2 linked regions of the Diceros bicornis minor genome follow. The protein of the gene in region 1 purifies or fractionates together with the protein of each later gene. This does not show direct contact. Links are inferred from orthologs where the notes say so. Each region holds a gene or a part of one and is shown in the gene's direction. Other genes may lie near its edges.

Region 1 (7,942 bases):
TGCACGCCCGGGATCCGAACCGGCAAACTCCGGGCCGCTGCAGTGGAGCGCGAGCACTTAACCGCTTGCGCCACTGGGCCAGCCCCAAAATCGCCATTCTTGAGACCTCAAATAAACTTTTTGCTTCTCTTGTAGTTTATGCCTCTTATTGGTTGACATGTGCCAACTTCAGCCCCACCACCAGCCTCCCCCAGCCCCAGACTCAGCAAGCTCCTTACCCAGTTCCAGTTCTAACACAAGGTTCAGGGGACTCAGTGAGGTTCTCCATTCACGTGTGGTCATCCAGGCAGACTTGCTCCCTGCATACAATGAGCCCCACCGTCCTGAGTGGGCGCCTTTATCTTCCCGCTTCACTACCTACCCCCGTTTCAGAGCGTCTCAACAATGTGCTTCCCTGGCCTTGAACCACAAACCCCAACCTTTGCATCCTCATCTCATTCCTGGGTCATGTTCTTCCACTTTTCCGAGCCCTGGGCCTGGGCTTTGAGGTCTACACCGACTTCCCATGGCCTGGTCTCTGGGTGAGCCGGGGAAGGAGAGGATTCTGGGGGGTGAGGGTGAGAGGCAACTCTATTAGGCACTTAGAAGCCCAAGATCAGCTGGGCCAAACACCAGAAAGCCTCCTATTTTTGTTTACCTCAAATAGAGCTCAATATACCACTCAACATACGTTAAATACCCACTCCTGTGGGTAACACCATCCATCCTTGTCTGCCCTCTTCCCTCCCATCCACCTTCTGCAGACGGAGCCCCCAGTGGGTGTACCCAGGGAATGGCTGGGCTCAGCTCAGGGCTTCCTCGAGGTTGTAGACCCCTGAGGCCCCAACAACCTCTTGCAGGGGCTCCCATGAGAAAGTGCCAGAGCAGTTTTAAAGTTCACAAACATAGACACACTCTCAGATCTCGTGGTCCCCAAAGCAAATTATGCACAGAGCGTGACCCTCTCTTTAGATGTCCGTAAAGACCTGACCCAGCTCAACATCTGCTCCTGGGGCTTTCTCCAGGTGGGCAGGCATTACCAGTTTGGTCCATTAGTAACTCCTTCTTGTGGTACTGCCACATCCCATGGAGCACTGGGCCATGAGTCCACTCATTCAATGAGCCCCTTGTTGAGTGTTTCTTTCATTCAGTCATTCATCATTTACCTTTGGCATCTTTGGGTGTCAAAGATCCAGAGATCAATAATGCAAAGTCCCACCTCTAGGGCAACGTGGGTGTGAGGGGCAGAAGACAAATGAATGATTTCACTGCAGGCTGAGAAGTACTCTGATGGGGGTTAAGCAGGCAGAGTGGGGGCATCTAATGCAGATTAGGAGTGGGTGTGGTCAGATGACTTCCCAGAGGAGACCTTGCTGCATTATCTGTGGAGAAGACTTAAGGAGAAAAACTTAAATAATTTACCTAGTCATTTAAAGCATTATTTTCCTATGAAAGTATGCATCGAAGATTATGAAGTAGGATGCAACATTCCACATGAATTTTCAATGTAAAACAAGCTATTTCAAAGAAATTTCCCAAGTGCAAAAGGTCTACAACCCCAGACCCTCCTGACCCCTCTGACTGTGGTATGAATCTTCTCTCCTCTGTGGTCAGCTTCCAATATTAGTGAAGATTAGTGAATGCTACGTTAGTGGAAATTTTTGAGAAGCATCTATCTCTGGGAAAACATCTAAATTCCTTAGCTTGGCCTACAAGACCTTTCATGATGGGACCCTCTGCCCTAGCAGCTTTCTCTGACATTATTCTCCTACACACTCTCTGTTCTCCACCCAGCAGCTATTTACACCTCCCCAAACAGTAAACAATGTGCCAAGCTGGTTCATGCCTTTGTGATTTTTCACAAGCTGCTCTTTGCCTGGAATGTCCCTGCCCACGCATCCATCTGGCAAACTCCTACTCATCCTTCTATACCCAGCTCAAAGGGCTCCTCTTCTGTGAAGCCTTCCCAGCAGGCCCAAGTGGAATGAGTCAGTTCCTTCCAAGCACCACTCTATGGTGTCTGTGGCCCTCTCCTTGTGCTGAGATTTATTTATTTCACTTTTTCTCTAACTTGATTGTGGGGGCTTGGAGGGGAAAGACTGTATGATTTATATTTGTATCTCTAGCCCTAAGCACAGCATCCGGCATGGTAGGTGTCTATAAATATTTTGCATAAAGGAGCAAATGAACAAAACTTATTTTGACTCCTTTCTTCTCTTTTGCTTTTAGAGTCAAGATAGGAGACCAGCATTTTCTCATAGACTTTGGAAAATGCTAAGAAAACCACACACCACAAAGAAAAAAATTTCCATTTAACCTCTTTTTGTAGCCATTCACTTCTTATAGCTCATGTAGTTCTCCTGAGAACTCACCAACCCACTGTGGTTCTTTGACCTTGAGGCATTAGTAAACAGAGCCAGGTAGGAAAGGGGCAGCGGTGCTGTAGGGTCTAGCCAGGTTCCTCCGAGGCAGAGCAATAGCAGCAATGGGGGCTGACACCTATCACGTTCCAGGCACTGTTCTAAGTCCCTTACTATACATGTATACACAGTGACTCTTAATCCTCATAACAACCCTATCAGGTAGCTACTACTATTACCCCATTTTATTTTATTTATTTATTTATTTTTTGGTGGGGAACATCAGCTCTGAGCTAACATCCGATGCCAATCCTCCTCTTTTTTGCCAAGGAAGACTGGCCCTGAGCCAACATCCGTGCCCGTCTTCCTCTACTCTATATGGGACACCCCCACAGCATGGGGTGCTGCGTGGTGCATTGGTACGTGCCTGGTTCCGAACCTGTGAATCCTGGGCCACCAAAGGGGAGCGTGTGCACTTAACCACTTGCACCACCGGGCAGGCCCTATCCCCATTTTAGAGATGAGGAAACTGAGGCACAGACAGGTTGAGTAACTTGCTCACAATACCGCTAACGAGTGGCAGAGATAGGATTCAAACCCAGGAAGTCTAGCTTGAGAATTTATTCTCCCAACCTCAAGCCTATAGTAGCTCCATGAGCAAAAGATGGACAGTGATGGTAATTTGTTCTAAGAATACAGGGAACAAGAGGTAGAAGAGGAATGTGCCCTTTCACAACCAATCGCCCCAGTCTCGGGCTCTGGGGTGCCCTCTGGGTTCATAAGTGTCCTGTAAAGGTGCTCACTTTGTACAACTCCCAGACCCAGAGGCCCTGTCTCCTCTTTGCCCTGCATTTTTACTTCACCGCGGAGAGGGAGCTATTTGTTTCAGTTGGCTTTGTTCAGCAGAGTCCTCACCAGCCATCTCAGGAAGTGGGCTCCCTGCCATCTTGGGTGGCTGAGGATCTGCTGGCTCTACCTCCCAGGTGCCTTTCACAACAGCACCCCAGGCTAGGGAAACTGGTGAGACCACTTTCCTAGGGTATGTGGGGTGGACCTTAAACCTTCATGGATTCCTGTATCCCATCCAGGACATTTCAAGCAGAGGTCATAACATATGCAAAAATGCAGGAGTGAGAAAAAGCTAGGCCTGTCCATGGAGCAGGTGAGATGCTAGGGTTTGGAGAGAGGGGAGGGAGATGGAATGGACAGGTAGTCTGGCTCTACTTTTGCTTGTGAAAGGCCTTAAACCCACAGTAGAGAAATTTGATTTTCTTCCTCCTATAGGCAGTGGAGAGCCATCGAAGGTTTGTTAGGTTTACAGTGTCACTACTTAAGCTGTTTCTCTTTATTCAACTCTACTTTCTCAACAATTAGGAAACACTGCCATCATGTGGCTGCTGGGTGATGCATACCCCAAACTGTAAATTGACCAATTTTCTCTGATACCATTTAACACGCAGTTAAACCAAAGAACACATCTCTTGATTCAATAGTTGAAGTAAAGCAATGGTAACCTTAATCCTAATGTGAAAAGGATGCTTTTCATAAGGCTTTTCAGGAAATCAATACCTGGGTTCAATTCTTGGATTTCTTACTTTGTTTTCAAAATTCTAATCTAAATCTTTAGTGATTCTGATTGCAAGGATCCTTTCTATTCCCAGTAACCCCTATCTTAGAACCATACTCTCTGGCCCTGCAAAGACTCCACTATCTCCAGGTCAGTTTGGCATCAGACTGTCTCCAGGCCATTTCCCTCAACTGGCAGATTCTATTTCAGTCCTAGGTCTGTCCTCTTTGTATGGCTCAGCAGTTGGACAGATCCAAATTCAAATATTTCCCCCATTTTTTAGCTGGGTAATTTTGGGCAAGTCACTTAACCTCTCCAAACTTCAGTCACTTCATCTGTATAATGGGGATGACACCTTCTCCACAGGGTTATTGTGAGGATGGAAAGATGACACGTGTAGACTGCCTGGTACATCACAACTCCTCATAATAAGGTAGTCCTCCTCCTTCCCTTCCGTCCTCAGGGCACATTGTTGAGCACCCAACAAGCACTCACTGGAGGTCTGTGACTTGATATCCGAGATTTACCTGGTCCTCCACAACGTTCCCTGAGAACAAAACTACTCATCCCTTCAGGCTTCGAGGGACCACCCCTATTTCCGTGTGTTGCCTACAGACCTTGGGCTTGCTGGGGATTGCAATCCACGCGTCTCCTCCGTGCGCAGCAGGCGGCAGGTGCGTGGACGTGAGAGGGGCGGGCGGGGCGGCAGTCATTCCTCGCCGCTTCCTTCCCGGGGGCTGGGGTGTGTGTGTGTGTGTATATAATTCAATCCCCGTGGGATCCGGAGTCTGGCCTCACCCGCGGCTCGGCAGATTGGCTGACGGTCTCAGCTCGCCCCCGCCCTCCTTCCCTCCGCGTCCCAGGTGGCTCAGGCCCCCTGCGGTGTTCTCTGTTTACGGAGAGAGCCCGTCCAAGTTGGGCTCCATCTCTGCACTCGCTCCCCTCCGGGGCCCCGCCCGCCCGGGAAGCGGGGAGAAAACCAGGCCGTGCCATTCCTCGTCCTTGCCCTACCCCTCACCGCGCAGAGAGGTCGGGTAAGGGGGAAGAGGTGTGCGCGGGAGAGGGAGTCCCAGGCCTGGGGGAACCGGCTGTCTCCCCCTCCCAGTACCTCGCGCGGACCCAGGAGTTCTATCCCTAGGCCTAGCTCCCGCTCCCTCTCCCCGCCCTGTCGTGCTCAGGGTGACGTGCCCACCCTGGGCAGGCAGCCAGAAGCTGGATCTCAGGGATGCCAGGTCCCTAGAGGAGGCACAGATGTGGAGACTTCACTCACAGGTGTTCCTCCTCCCCCAGACGGCGATGACCCCCAAGCCGGCCGGACCCCCTGACGGGGGCTGGGGCTGGGTGGTGGCGGCCGCAGCCTTCGCGGTGAACGGGCTCTCCTACGGGCTGTTACGCTCCCTGGGCCTTGCTCTCCCTGACCTCGCGGAGCACTTTGACCGAAGCGCTCAGGACACTGCGTGGGTCAGCGCCCTGGCCCTGGCCGTGCAGCAGGCAGCCAGTGAGGGGCGCCCCGAGGGAGGCGGGAACTGGGGTGGAGGGGCCGTGAGCGTAGTGGTGGGGGACTCACCTGATTACCAGACAAGCTGAGAAAGGGAGACTGGTGGAACCACGTTCTAGAAAAGAGTGGGTCTTGAGGTCAAAGGAAGGAGCTATTAGGCTGGGGGAGGGGTTTTAGGCCAGGCAAACAGCCAAGGAGAACTGTTGGAGCGAGTTTGGGGGTCCAGGGGCGTGTCTTCCGTTGACTCCGCCCCCTTCTAGGCCCAGTGGGCAGCGCCCTGAGTACCCGCTGGGGGGCGCGCCCCGTGGTGATGGTTGGGGGCGTCCTCACCTCGCTCGGCTTCGTCTTTTCGGCTTTCGCCCGCAGTCTGCTGCATCTGTACTTCGGCCTGGGTGTCCTTGCTGGTGAGGGGAGAGGGATACTGGGGTCCTTAACGCGTGATGGTGGAGATAGGAGCTTGTTGGGGGCTGGAGGCTAACGGGTGGGGGCCTCCCGCGAGGCGCCGGGCTGGGATTGCTGGGGCAGGCATCCCCGGCCGGTGCCCTTACCCCGTCCTGTCCATTCGCAGGCTCCGGCTGGGCCCTGGTGTTCGCCCCTGCCCTGGGGACCCTCTCGCGTTACTTCTCCCGCCGTCGAGTCTTGGCCATGGGGCTGGCACTCACGGGCAACGGGGTCTCCTCGCTGCTCCTGGCGCCCGCATTGCAGTTCCTCCTTGATACTTTCGGCTGGCGGGGCGCCCTGCTCCTCCTTGGCGCCATTACCCTTCACCTTATCGCCTGTGGCGCTCTGCTGCGCCCCCTGACGCTCCCTGGCGACCCCCAGGCCCCACCCCGCGGACCCCTAGCTGCCCTCGGCCTGGGTCTCTTCACACGCCGGGCCTTCTCAGTTTTTGCTCTGGGCACGGCCCTGGTGGGGGGCGGCTACTTCGTCCCCTACGTGCACTTGGCCCCTCACGCTTTAGACCGGGGCCTGGAAGGGTATGGGGCAGCGCTGGTGGTGGCGGTGGCTGCGGTGGGGGATGCGGGCGCCCGGCTGGTCTGCGGGTGGCTGGCGGACCAGGGCTGGGTGCCCCTTTCGCGGCTGCTGGCGGTGTTCGGGGCTCTAACCGGGCTGGGGCTGCTGGCCGTGGGACTGGTGCCTGTGGCGCGCAGCAAGGAGGGCTGGGGGGGCCCCCTGCTGGCCGCGGCTGGGGCCTACGGGCTGAGCGCCGGAAGTTACGCCCCGCTGGTTTTCGGCGTGATCCCGGGGCTGGTGGGCATTGGAGGTGTTGTACAGGGAACGGGGCTGATGCTGATGCTGATGAGCCTCGGGGGGCTTTTGGGCCCTCCTCTGTCAGGTAAGGGCCTGAGCCAGCCGACCCGTTCGCAACCATCCTCTGCCCCTGGAGTCCGAGGCCTCCAAATTCCTTTCCCCTTCCCTTCAGGCTTCCTAAGGGATGAGACCGGCGACTTCACCGCCTCCTTCCTCGTGTGCGGCTCCTTCATCCTCTCTGGCAGCTTCATCTACACGGGGCTGCCCGGGGCGCTGCCCTCCTGCGGTGCAGCCTCACAACCAGCGGCCCCTCCCCCTGAGAGGGGGGAGCTGCTCCCCGCTCCTCAGGTTGCCCTGCTCTCCGCAGGAGGCCCTCACTCCACCCCGGACACCACTTGTTGACTATTTTGTTTGAGCCCCTCCCCCAATAAAGAATTTCTATCCGGTTTTCCTGCAAGCTCCAAATGTTAGCCAATCTAGGACGCTGAAAACATTCTACTTAAGATACCCAGAAAGGCTGGTTCAAAGGAACATGATCCCACTAAGCCCTGGGGGAGGGGAAGGGTGTCTGTCTGTCCAGCCGGTCCATTTCTCTTTGCCCAAGTTGTTGCCATTATAACAGGGAATCTTTGAGAAGCTGTCTGCTGTCAGCTTCAGTTTGTTGTTGGGGGGACGACTCATGGGTGCTATCTGCCCCCTCCCCATCCCAGAAAACTCTTTCCTGCATTTCAGTATCCTCCTACTGGCCTGAGGGAAATAAAAGAGTCTTAGACCCAGACTTCAGTTCTCTCAGCTTTAGCTCCCCCTCCCAAACTCCCCCCCACTCTGTGTCCCCCACCATTCTGTTAATGTCTTTTCTAAGTCACAGGGGATAGTGGGCAAGAGGGAGGTCAGTGGGCAAGAGGAACTGTGGTCCAGAGAACAGAGTCCAGGGTTAAAATGCTCTGGGTCACCAGAGCTCCTGGACACCTCCCCTCTACTCCCCAGCCATGACCCATTCAGCCAACCCAAGCATATGGGCCCCAGCTCTTTTTGAAGTTCTGATTATTATCCAGTTTGCTTACTCAGTTTTATCTCAAAGGAGCATCCTTCTTTCCCAAACATCTGTCTTCAGAGAAGAAACTCAGTAGGCAACATTAGAGAGCACGTGTAAAACATGATAAGTCTGTTGGCCTTTGATTTTCACAGGTGATCCACAGCTCAGTAGAGCAGGCTGAACTCCTGAATCCCTCAGAAAAGGTTGTGGGAGCAAAGAAGAGATGAGAATCCTCAACAAAATACCAAGGG
Region 2 (7,850 bases), on another chromosome or scaffold:
GTAATACATATGTATTATATGTAATATGTGTATACATACACATGTGTGTGTGTATTTTTCTTCCTTCCAGAGAAGGAGAGCAAATGACTATCAGTTGGTCATAGGTCCCAATTTAGACCAAGTAGCTCTGGAACTTTTTCCCCATTATTCTTAATATCCAGGGATGACTAAAGTACTTCCTTCTTTTTTCTTCCATATCCACTCCTGACTTTGTTCAAGTATAGAATCATTTTCTTACAATGTAACTAGATTCACATCTGATGGGCTCCCCTGTATTAGTTTTCTCCTGTTGCATAACAAATTACCACAAACTTAGTGTTTTAACACAAATTTACCATCTCCCAGTTTCCACGGGTCAGAAGTTCAGGCACGGTTAACTTGGTCCTCTGCTCAGGGTCTCACCAGGCTGTAATCAAGGTGTTGGGTGGGACTATGATCTCATTGGAGGCTTGGGGGTTTCTTTCAAGCTCACAAGTTGTTGGCAGAATTCAGTTCCCTGGGGTTTTAGGACTGAGGTGCTCAGCTCTTGAAGGTTGCCCCCCTCCATGGGCAGTTACTTCACAATGTGGCTGTTTGCTTCTTCTAGACAAGCGTGAGGGCATCTCTCTCACTAGGAACGGCTCCCTCTAGCCTGCTAAAATGGTGTCTTATCAAATGTAACCTAATCAAAGCAGTGACTACTCCATCATATTCACATTCAAGGGGAGCCAGGGCCCATGACCAGGGGAGCAGGAATCTTGGAGGCCAGCACAGAATTTTGCCTACCATATTCCATGACTTGTATTTGTATTTGTGGTTTTTTGTTTGTTTATTTTCTAAGGGTCAGTAGCAAATTTTCACCTTTCTTTTTATTAATTTATATATTACTGTCTGATATAACATTTTTCTCCAATAAAATTCTTTTAATTAGATATTATTTTCAGTAAAAGGTAATCCACATCCACATCCACGTTCCCATTCTCATTTTCACCCCTTCCCAGGACCCTGTCACACACTTTTCACTCAATGACAGTTTATATCCTAAAATAAAAAAAGAATAAAGATTTTATAGTATTATTTTACAAGCACATGTTTCAGAAAAAAAATGTTTTCCCTATACTGATTCTCTAATAAGTAAAAAACAGAGCACACTAAAAGTACTATTTTTGTTATCAAGGCCCACGCAGGTCCCAACCTGTCCGTGGTTTGGGGTTGTTATCTGCCTCATAAAGCAAAGTAGAGGATTTGTCTTCTGTGAAGACAAAGTCATCTTCTCTGAAAAATCCTCCCACATATTTGGCTTTGGCGTCCACCAGGAATAGGAGGGCAGGGATTGACGCCTCATAGGTCTGGGTTTTCAGTTGAGGTAGAGAAAGGACAGTGGTTATAGCCAGAAAGTCCAGAGTGGGGTGTAAGTTACCTCCAGAACTCGTCACTGTTAACCCAGCCTGGGCTTCATGACAGTCACAGAAGTGGATTCCTTAATAATAAAATAATACAGTTTCCAAAAATAAAAAAAATAAAAAATAAAAGTACTATTTTTTAAAAGATACTGCAGGAAATAGAAAGACTTATAGAACTATTTCCGGGTACTGAAAAGACTTGTAATGTATTTGGGGAAAAAAGATATAATTACATAACAAGTTGAATACCAATAAAATATTTAAATGGAAATTGTAGCCAACAATGAGGGTCAAGCGACAAGGCTGTAAATTATTAATTGTCAAATTAATCCTACAGACAGTATGAGTTCAGAAGAGAGTGTTTGGATAATTTATTGTGGTGACACAAGCTACCCGAAAATTTAGTGGCTTAAAACAACAACAGCTTTGCCTCACAGTTGTGCTGGCCAGGACTTCAGGCAGTGCTGAGCTGGCAATTCTGCTCCAAGGAGCATCAACTGGAATCATCGAGTGGTACTCAGCTGGGGGCTGGTCTTGTCTGAAGGCTCCAAGAAAGGTCCCTCACAAATCTAGCACCTTACTGCTCCTCAGCTCCTCTCTTTCCACGTGGCATCTCATTGTTCCGTGCCTTCCACGTGGTTTGGGCTTCTTATAGCAAGGTGATCTCAAGGTAGTGATAGTTCTTTCTGGGCAGCTGTCTCATAAGAACAAGGAGGAAGGAAGTGGATGCTCTTATGGTTTGGATCCGGAAACTCACACAGCGTTACTTCATCAATAGTTACTATGTCAGAGGAGTCACAGAGACCACCCAGCTGGAGGAGAGGAAACACAGGACCCTTTTTCTCCCTCAACATACCTCATGAGGAGGACAGTGTCAAAGCATTTGTGGCCATATTTAATTCACCATAGAGGGAAAGTTCAATTTGGAGCAGAAAGGTCAGAAAAAGCTATACAGGGAAGGGAGCATGTGAGCTGGTTTTAAACGATATGGAGCATTTGAAAAAATAAAGTGGAATAGGATAAGGCCAAAAAATATTAAATATCTAAAGATAAAATAGTAACAATGGGGAAAAGACTTTCAAAATGCTTAGCAGCACAAGAATTGTATTTCTTTCTCAATTTATTTTGCTCTAATGACAAAAGCAACAGTGAGAATTAGTCTCAACTTGGGCAAGTCCCTTTTTCCTGTTCATAAACATGTTGATTCAACTGAGAAGATACTTTTTCTTTAAATTTAGAGGTCAGCTCATTTGAAGAGAGGTGAATTTGAGCTCAAGGACTTTATAGGGCGAATTGGGGAAGGTCAGTCAGAGTTCAGCTCGTTTTGAGAAGTGCTTACTGTTAAAACTCTCCAAGGTATGGGAAAATATTTGTAGTTAGTCCTGAGACAGGATGCAGGGCAGTGAGACAGGGGGTGTAATTTAGCAACCATTGATGAGGCAATTTGAGTTTAGCAAGTCGGGTCAAGGTCCTAAGAAGGTGATGATGTATAATGTTTAGTCATAAGGCTTTGTTCAGAAGGGCTTAATCATTATAACCATAATTTTCTGACTGAGAGGAGGCTTTCCTTAGATTTGTAGTTCATAGATAAATGGGTTTCTAGATTAAATAATGTGTGTGTGTGTGTCCGTGTGTGTGTGCGCGCGCGCTCACGCTCCTTGCAGTACATGCAGCCTATTTTGAACGCAGTGCCTGGCACTTGGTAGCTATTTAATATTGCTTAATGAATTGTATTACTCATATTCTCTCAACACCAATTTAAACAATCTACATTCTTTTTTAAAGTTTTGCCTATATAATATTAAACTGGAAACAAAGGAATATTCTAGTAATACATACCCATTAAAAATTAACCATTCCTGGGGCCCGCCTGGTGTCGCAAGCGGTTGAGTGCGCGCACTCTGCTGCAGCGGCGGGGGGGGGGGGTGGGGTGGGGGGGGTGGGGGGGTGGGGTTTGCTGGTTTGGACCCTGGGCACACATGGAGGCACCGCTTGTCAAGCCATGCTGTGGCGGCCTCCCATATAAAGTAGAGGAAGATGGGCATGGGTGTTAGCCCAGGGCCAGTCTTCCCCAGCAAAAAAAAGAGGATTGGCAGATATTAGCTCAGGGCCGATCTTCCTCACACACACACAAAAATTAACCATTTCTGCCTGAAGTGAGCATAGCTCTTGTGTAGCACTTCAATTTTCAAAATTTATATCTAACTTTTTCTTTCAACCATCTTTTTTTGACACTGATATATTTTGAATTTGTGAATATCAAACCTGATATTCAAAAAAAGGGAGCGGGAACAAAGCTCATGAGAAACACTTACTTTAAAAAAATATCCTTTAATGTGTTATAACATCCTGCAGAATCATCAGATCTTACACCTCTTTTACATTATAATGTAGATTTCTCCTCCCCTCTCCAATAAAGCAATAGCTTTTACTTGTTACATTGTATTCGGTCGGGAGCACTAAAAATTCCAAGCTACAGCCTTACTGGGGAAGGGACAGCATTATCTTAATGGTAGAGTCTGATGAATGTCAGCAGGCTTGTGCAGCGCACACAGTATCTACTTTCAGTAGCTCTTATTTCTTGAGCTCTAGGTGGCTCTTCAGAAACTGTCGGGCTAAACAAACAAAAGGAAAAGAAAAACAGACACACTGTGGGGCCTTGGGATTCTGAAACTTTAATCTAGAGAGAACCAGTTAAGCCTTCAGAGACTGGAGGGGAGGATGTGCGCGATTGGTACGCAGAGCAAAGAAAGATTAGTCCAAGATGCAGGACAGCTGGATAGCGCCTTCCACCAGTGCAAACATGTCTCCTTAACAACCCAGGGATGACGGGGGTGGGGGTGGGGGTAGAAAGTATTCCGTCTAACCATCCTCTCATCTGTCCCATCAAAGTAAAAGTGACCCCTGCTTCAGATGAACTGCAAAGGATAGTCTGCAGGCTTCTTTATACTATATATATATATACACACACACAGGAGTTCCAACCTCTCTGCCAGGAGACGGGCTTGACATCACCTGCCCAGCGTCTTCAGCAAGCTCTCTGCCAGAGCCTGGAGGACGGAGGCGGGAGAGGATGCGGCGCGGAGGTGGCCACCGCACATCCGGGCGCGCCTGCAGCCGGCAGCGCGCTGCATAATTGATTGGGGGCCGGGCGCAGTTCTGGGTCGGCCTCGGGCGCGGCGAGAGCGTCTCGGGGGAGGAGGGCAGGGCGGCCGCGCCCCTCCCACTCGCCTTTTCTCGCGCATCCTGCCCTCTGGCCTGGCAGCGGGGGTCGGGACACCGGCGGGTGTGCGCGGGGACTCCCAGCACCGACGGCCGTGCGCGTAGGCAGCTGGTTCTGCGAGGACCGCGGCGGGGCCGCCGGCGCCATGCGCACCCTCTCCGGCCTGCGGGGGCCCCGGGCGCCGCCGCCCGCGCCGCTCCTCCTCCTGTGCCTGCTCGCCGCGGCGCGCCGGAGCTTGGCGGACGGCCATCCCTCAGGTGTGCTGGGTGCAGGGCCGGGGAGGGCCCAGAGGGCGCGCGGGAAGGGGCGCGCGGGGCTCGGTCCCTGCGGGCGGAGGGCCTGGGGGCGCGCCGGGCAAGGGAGGTGGGGAGAGGCGCAGGGATGCTGGCGACGGCGGGTGGGGAGCGGCGGCCGCCTCCTCCCTTTGGCTATCTAAGCTGCACGAGGGCACTGGGGCGGCTCGGGCTCCTCGGCGTGAATCTGGAACGAAGCTCCCGTGAGTCGGGGGCTTGGTCAGAGGGCAGTGACTGGGCTGTTCTAGGAAGACGGCGGTCGGGTGTGAGGGTGCGGGCGGGAGCAAGGCAACGACTTGGCCTCGGCTGAAGTGGCAGGCTTTCTGAAAGCCGCGATCGCTACGGCCAACTCCCTTCACGTGAATCGATAGTAAGGCTTAACTATCACCTCCTCTCTTCCGGGCAGGTGGATTGGCTTTGAGGGTGTTTTTAGAGCTGAGCTGAAAACATACCAACCAACCAACCAACCAACCAAAGCCCCACAACTCATAGGATACTGTGTGTGTCGTCTTTTACACGGTGGTCTTTGAAAACGAAGTTTTTTGTGATTGTTGTTTTATTGTTTGTTTAAGACACTTTGAAAGAGGAATTTAGGTGCAAAACGTTAGTAAAACCAACACCAAAGTTGCCATTTTAGCTTCACCTGTTTATAATTACTTTTTATGTTGAACGTATTCTGTCTAATCTACTTTCTAATGCAAGTTCCCGTGTTATACATTTCAGTGTTAGCAGCTCATTAGGATAATAGACCACCTCTCCAATTGGCAGTTATTGTCTATCAGTAACTAAAATCGGGATATTATTTTACACGAGGTTTTCAACCTTTCCTAGGAATTCATTTTTATGAGCTTACAGCGTGTAGGTTTTTTGTAACATGCTTTAAAGATGGAAAGATAAAGGGTAAGATTATTCATTTTTTATAAATTGTCCTTTATAAGGCCTAGTTCTTAACAACTTGAACAAAACATTTTGGGATGCTTCAGTTTCTAAATTTCCTTGCCCCACTTCCTGGCCACATATCTTCTTCATTCATACCACCTACAAAGAGCGGGCAAGGACATTTCCCCCCTGGAGCCATCCCTGATTCTCCCATCATTCACCTGAGAATACTGCAGTTCTGAGGACCAGTGCATTCTGGGTTTGTCCTAGAACTTTGGTCTTCTGCCTGGCTGTATGGTATGTTGAGATTCCCAGGGAGCTTTAAAAATACTGATACCCGGCCAGCCCCCCGTGGCTTAGCGGTTAAGTGCTCGCGCTCCGCTACTGGCAGCCCCGTGCCCGCACTGGCGCAGCGCTTCTCGGGCCATGCTGAGGCGGCGTCCCACATACACCAACTAGAAGGATGTGCAACTATGACGTGCAACTATCTGCTGGGGCTTTGGGGGGAAAAAAAAAAGGAGGAGGATTGGCAATAGATGTTAGCTCAGAGCCGGTCTTCCTCAGCAAAAAGAGGAGGATTAGCATGGATGTTAGCTCAGGACTGATCTTCCTCACAAAAAAAAAAAAAATAAATACTGATACCTGGATCCTGCCCTCAAAAATTTTGATTCAGTTGGCCTGGGATTCAGCCTGGACCTCAGGAATTTTAAAGCTCCCGTGTGATTTTAATTATGTGATTCTGAGCGGTTGATAACCACTGCTTTAAAATGATAATGGCCTAGAGAGTGCACTCACTGTTGGGGAGATAGTTATTCTGTTGGCATCAGGGAGTAAGGTTTAAATTGACGTTCAGAGCAGACTTCTACAGAGAAAAAAAGTAGGAAACAAATAAATGACAGTGGAGTAAATTAACAAAGTTGTAAATAAATGGGATGATGTACGTATGTATGGCAAATGTCTGTGTGTATATAGTGTAAGGCCTGTCCTTTTAGCTCCACTTAAGCTAAAATTGTGGAATAATGTGCCATATAAAAGGCATGAAGTAGCATCTCATTTTAAGGCAGAACGAAAAATTGTCAGGCAACCTCATCTCATTTTATAGATTCTGTATTGATCTTCATGAGATTCATTTTCCTCGTTGTTAAAGGATATTGTGAATTTTACTGGCTGTTTTTTCTTCTAGGTGCTTTGAACTACTTGGAAATAGGTGTTCTATAAACCTAAGACTTCGGGCCAAAGTTTAATAATAAAAATGGTTAAAATTTTTTATATTTACTATATAACAACTATGTGCCAGGCATTGCTTTATGCAGCTTGTAGCCCTATGGGTTAGCTTTTATTATCTCTGACTTTCAGATGAGAAAATTGGAATTTAGAGAGGTTAAATATTTGCCCACTTACACATAGTTAAGCAGTAGAGCAGGAGATTTAGCATGGTCGGATCTGACTCCCAAGCCTGTTTTCTTAAACACAATACTCAATTGTCTTTCTGAGATAACTCGGTATGTCTATGGAAGTTTAGAACTACCGACAGAGAGCACAACGTGTGAACTTAAATGCTTGATTTGAGCTGAAGAGCATGCTGACACATTTCCCCCCCTCCTTTTCTCCCCAAAGCCCCACTAGATAGTTGTATGTCATAGTTGCACATCCTTCTAGTTGCTGTATGTGGGACGCCGCCTCAGCATGGCCTGACAAGCAGTGCATTGGTGGGCACCCGGGACCTGAACCCGGGCGCTAGTAGCGGAGCGCGCGCACTTAACCTCTAAGCCACAGGGCCCGCTGCTCACGCATTTTGAGCCCTGGAATAAAGTTAAGCACAGGGACTCACCTTAACTCTTTTAGGCTGTTTCAATTAAATAAGAAATGTAGGGCTGGCCCCGTGGCTTAGCGGTTAAGGTTAAGTGCGCGTGCTCCGCTACTGGCGGCCCCAGTTCGGATCCCGGGGGCGCACTGACGCACCGCTTCTCCGGCCATGCTGAGGCCGCGTCCCACATACAGCAACTAGCAGGATGTGCAACTACGACATACAACCATCTACTGGGACTTTGGGGGACAAAGAGGAGGAGGGTT

The links. Proteins that work in one complex are often made in the same cells at the same time.
Region 2: the proteins of SLC16A11 (region 1) and EMB purify together in Homo sapiens (co-immunoprecipitation; 3 studies listed by BioGRID and IntAct, counting the BioPlex papers as one, with this or other methods). This does not show direct contact. The link is inferred for Diceros bicornis minor from reciprocal best matches to the Homo sapiens genes SLC16A11 and EMB.

What each region holds. Positions count from the first base shown.
Region 1 is NC_080757.1:11,216,718-11,224,659, forward strand, and holds SLC16A11 (monocarboxylate transporter 11), read left to right. Parts: upstream 1-5,187; 5' UTR 5,188-5,202; coding exon 5,203-5,404; intron 5,405-5,664; coding exon 5,665-5,808; intron 5,809-5,972; coding exon 5,973-7,057; 3' UTR 7,058-7,103; downstream 7,104-7,942. UniProt on the Homo sapiens protein: Proton-linked monocarboxylate transporter. It catalyzes the transport of pyruvate across the plasma membrane.
Region 2 is NC_080759.1:24,653,371-24,661,220, forward strand, and holds the start of EMB (embigin), read left to right. Parts: upstream 1-4,530; 5' UTR 4,531-4,750; coding exon 4,751-4,862; intron 4,863-7,850. UniProt on the Homo sapiens protein: Plays a role in the outgrowth of motoneurons and in the formation of neuromuscular junctions.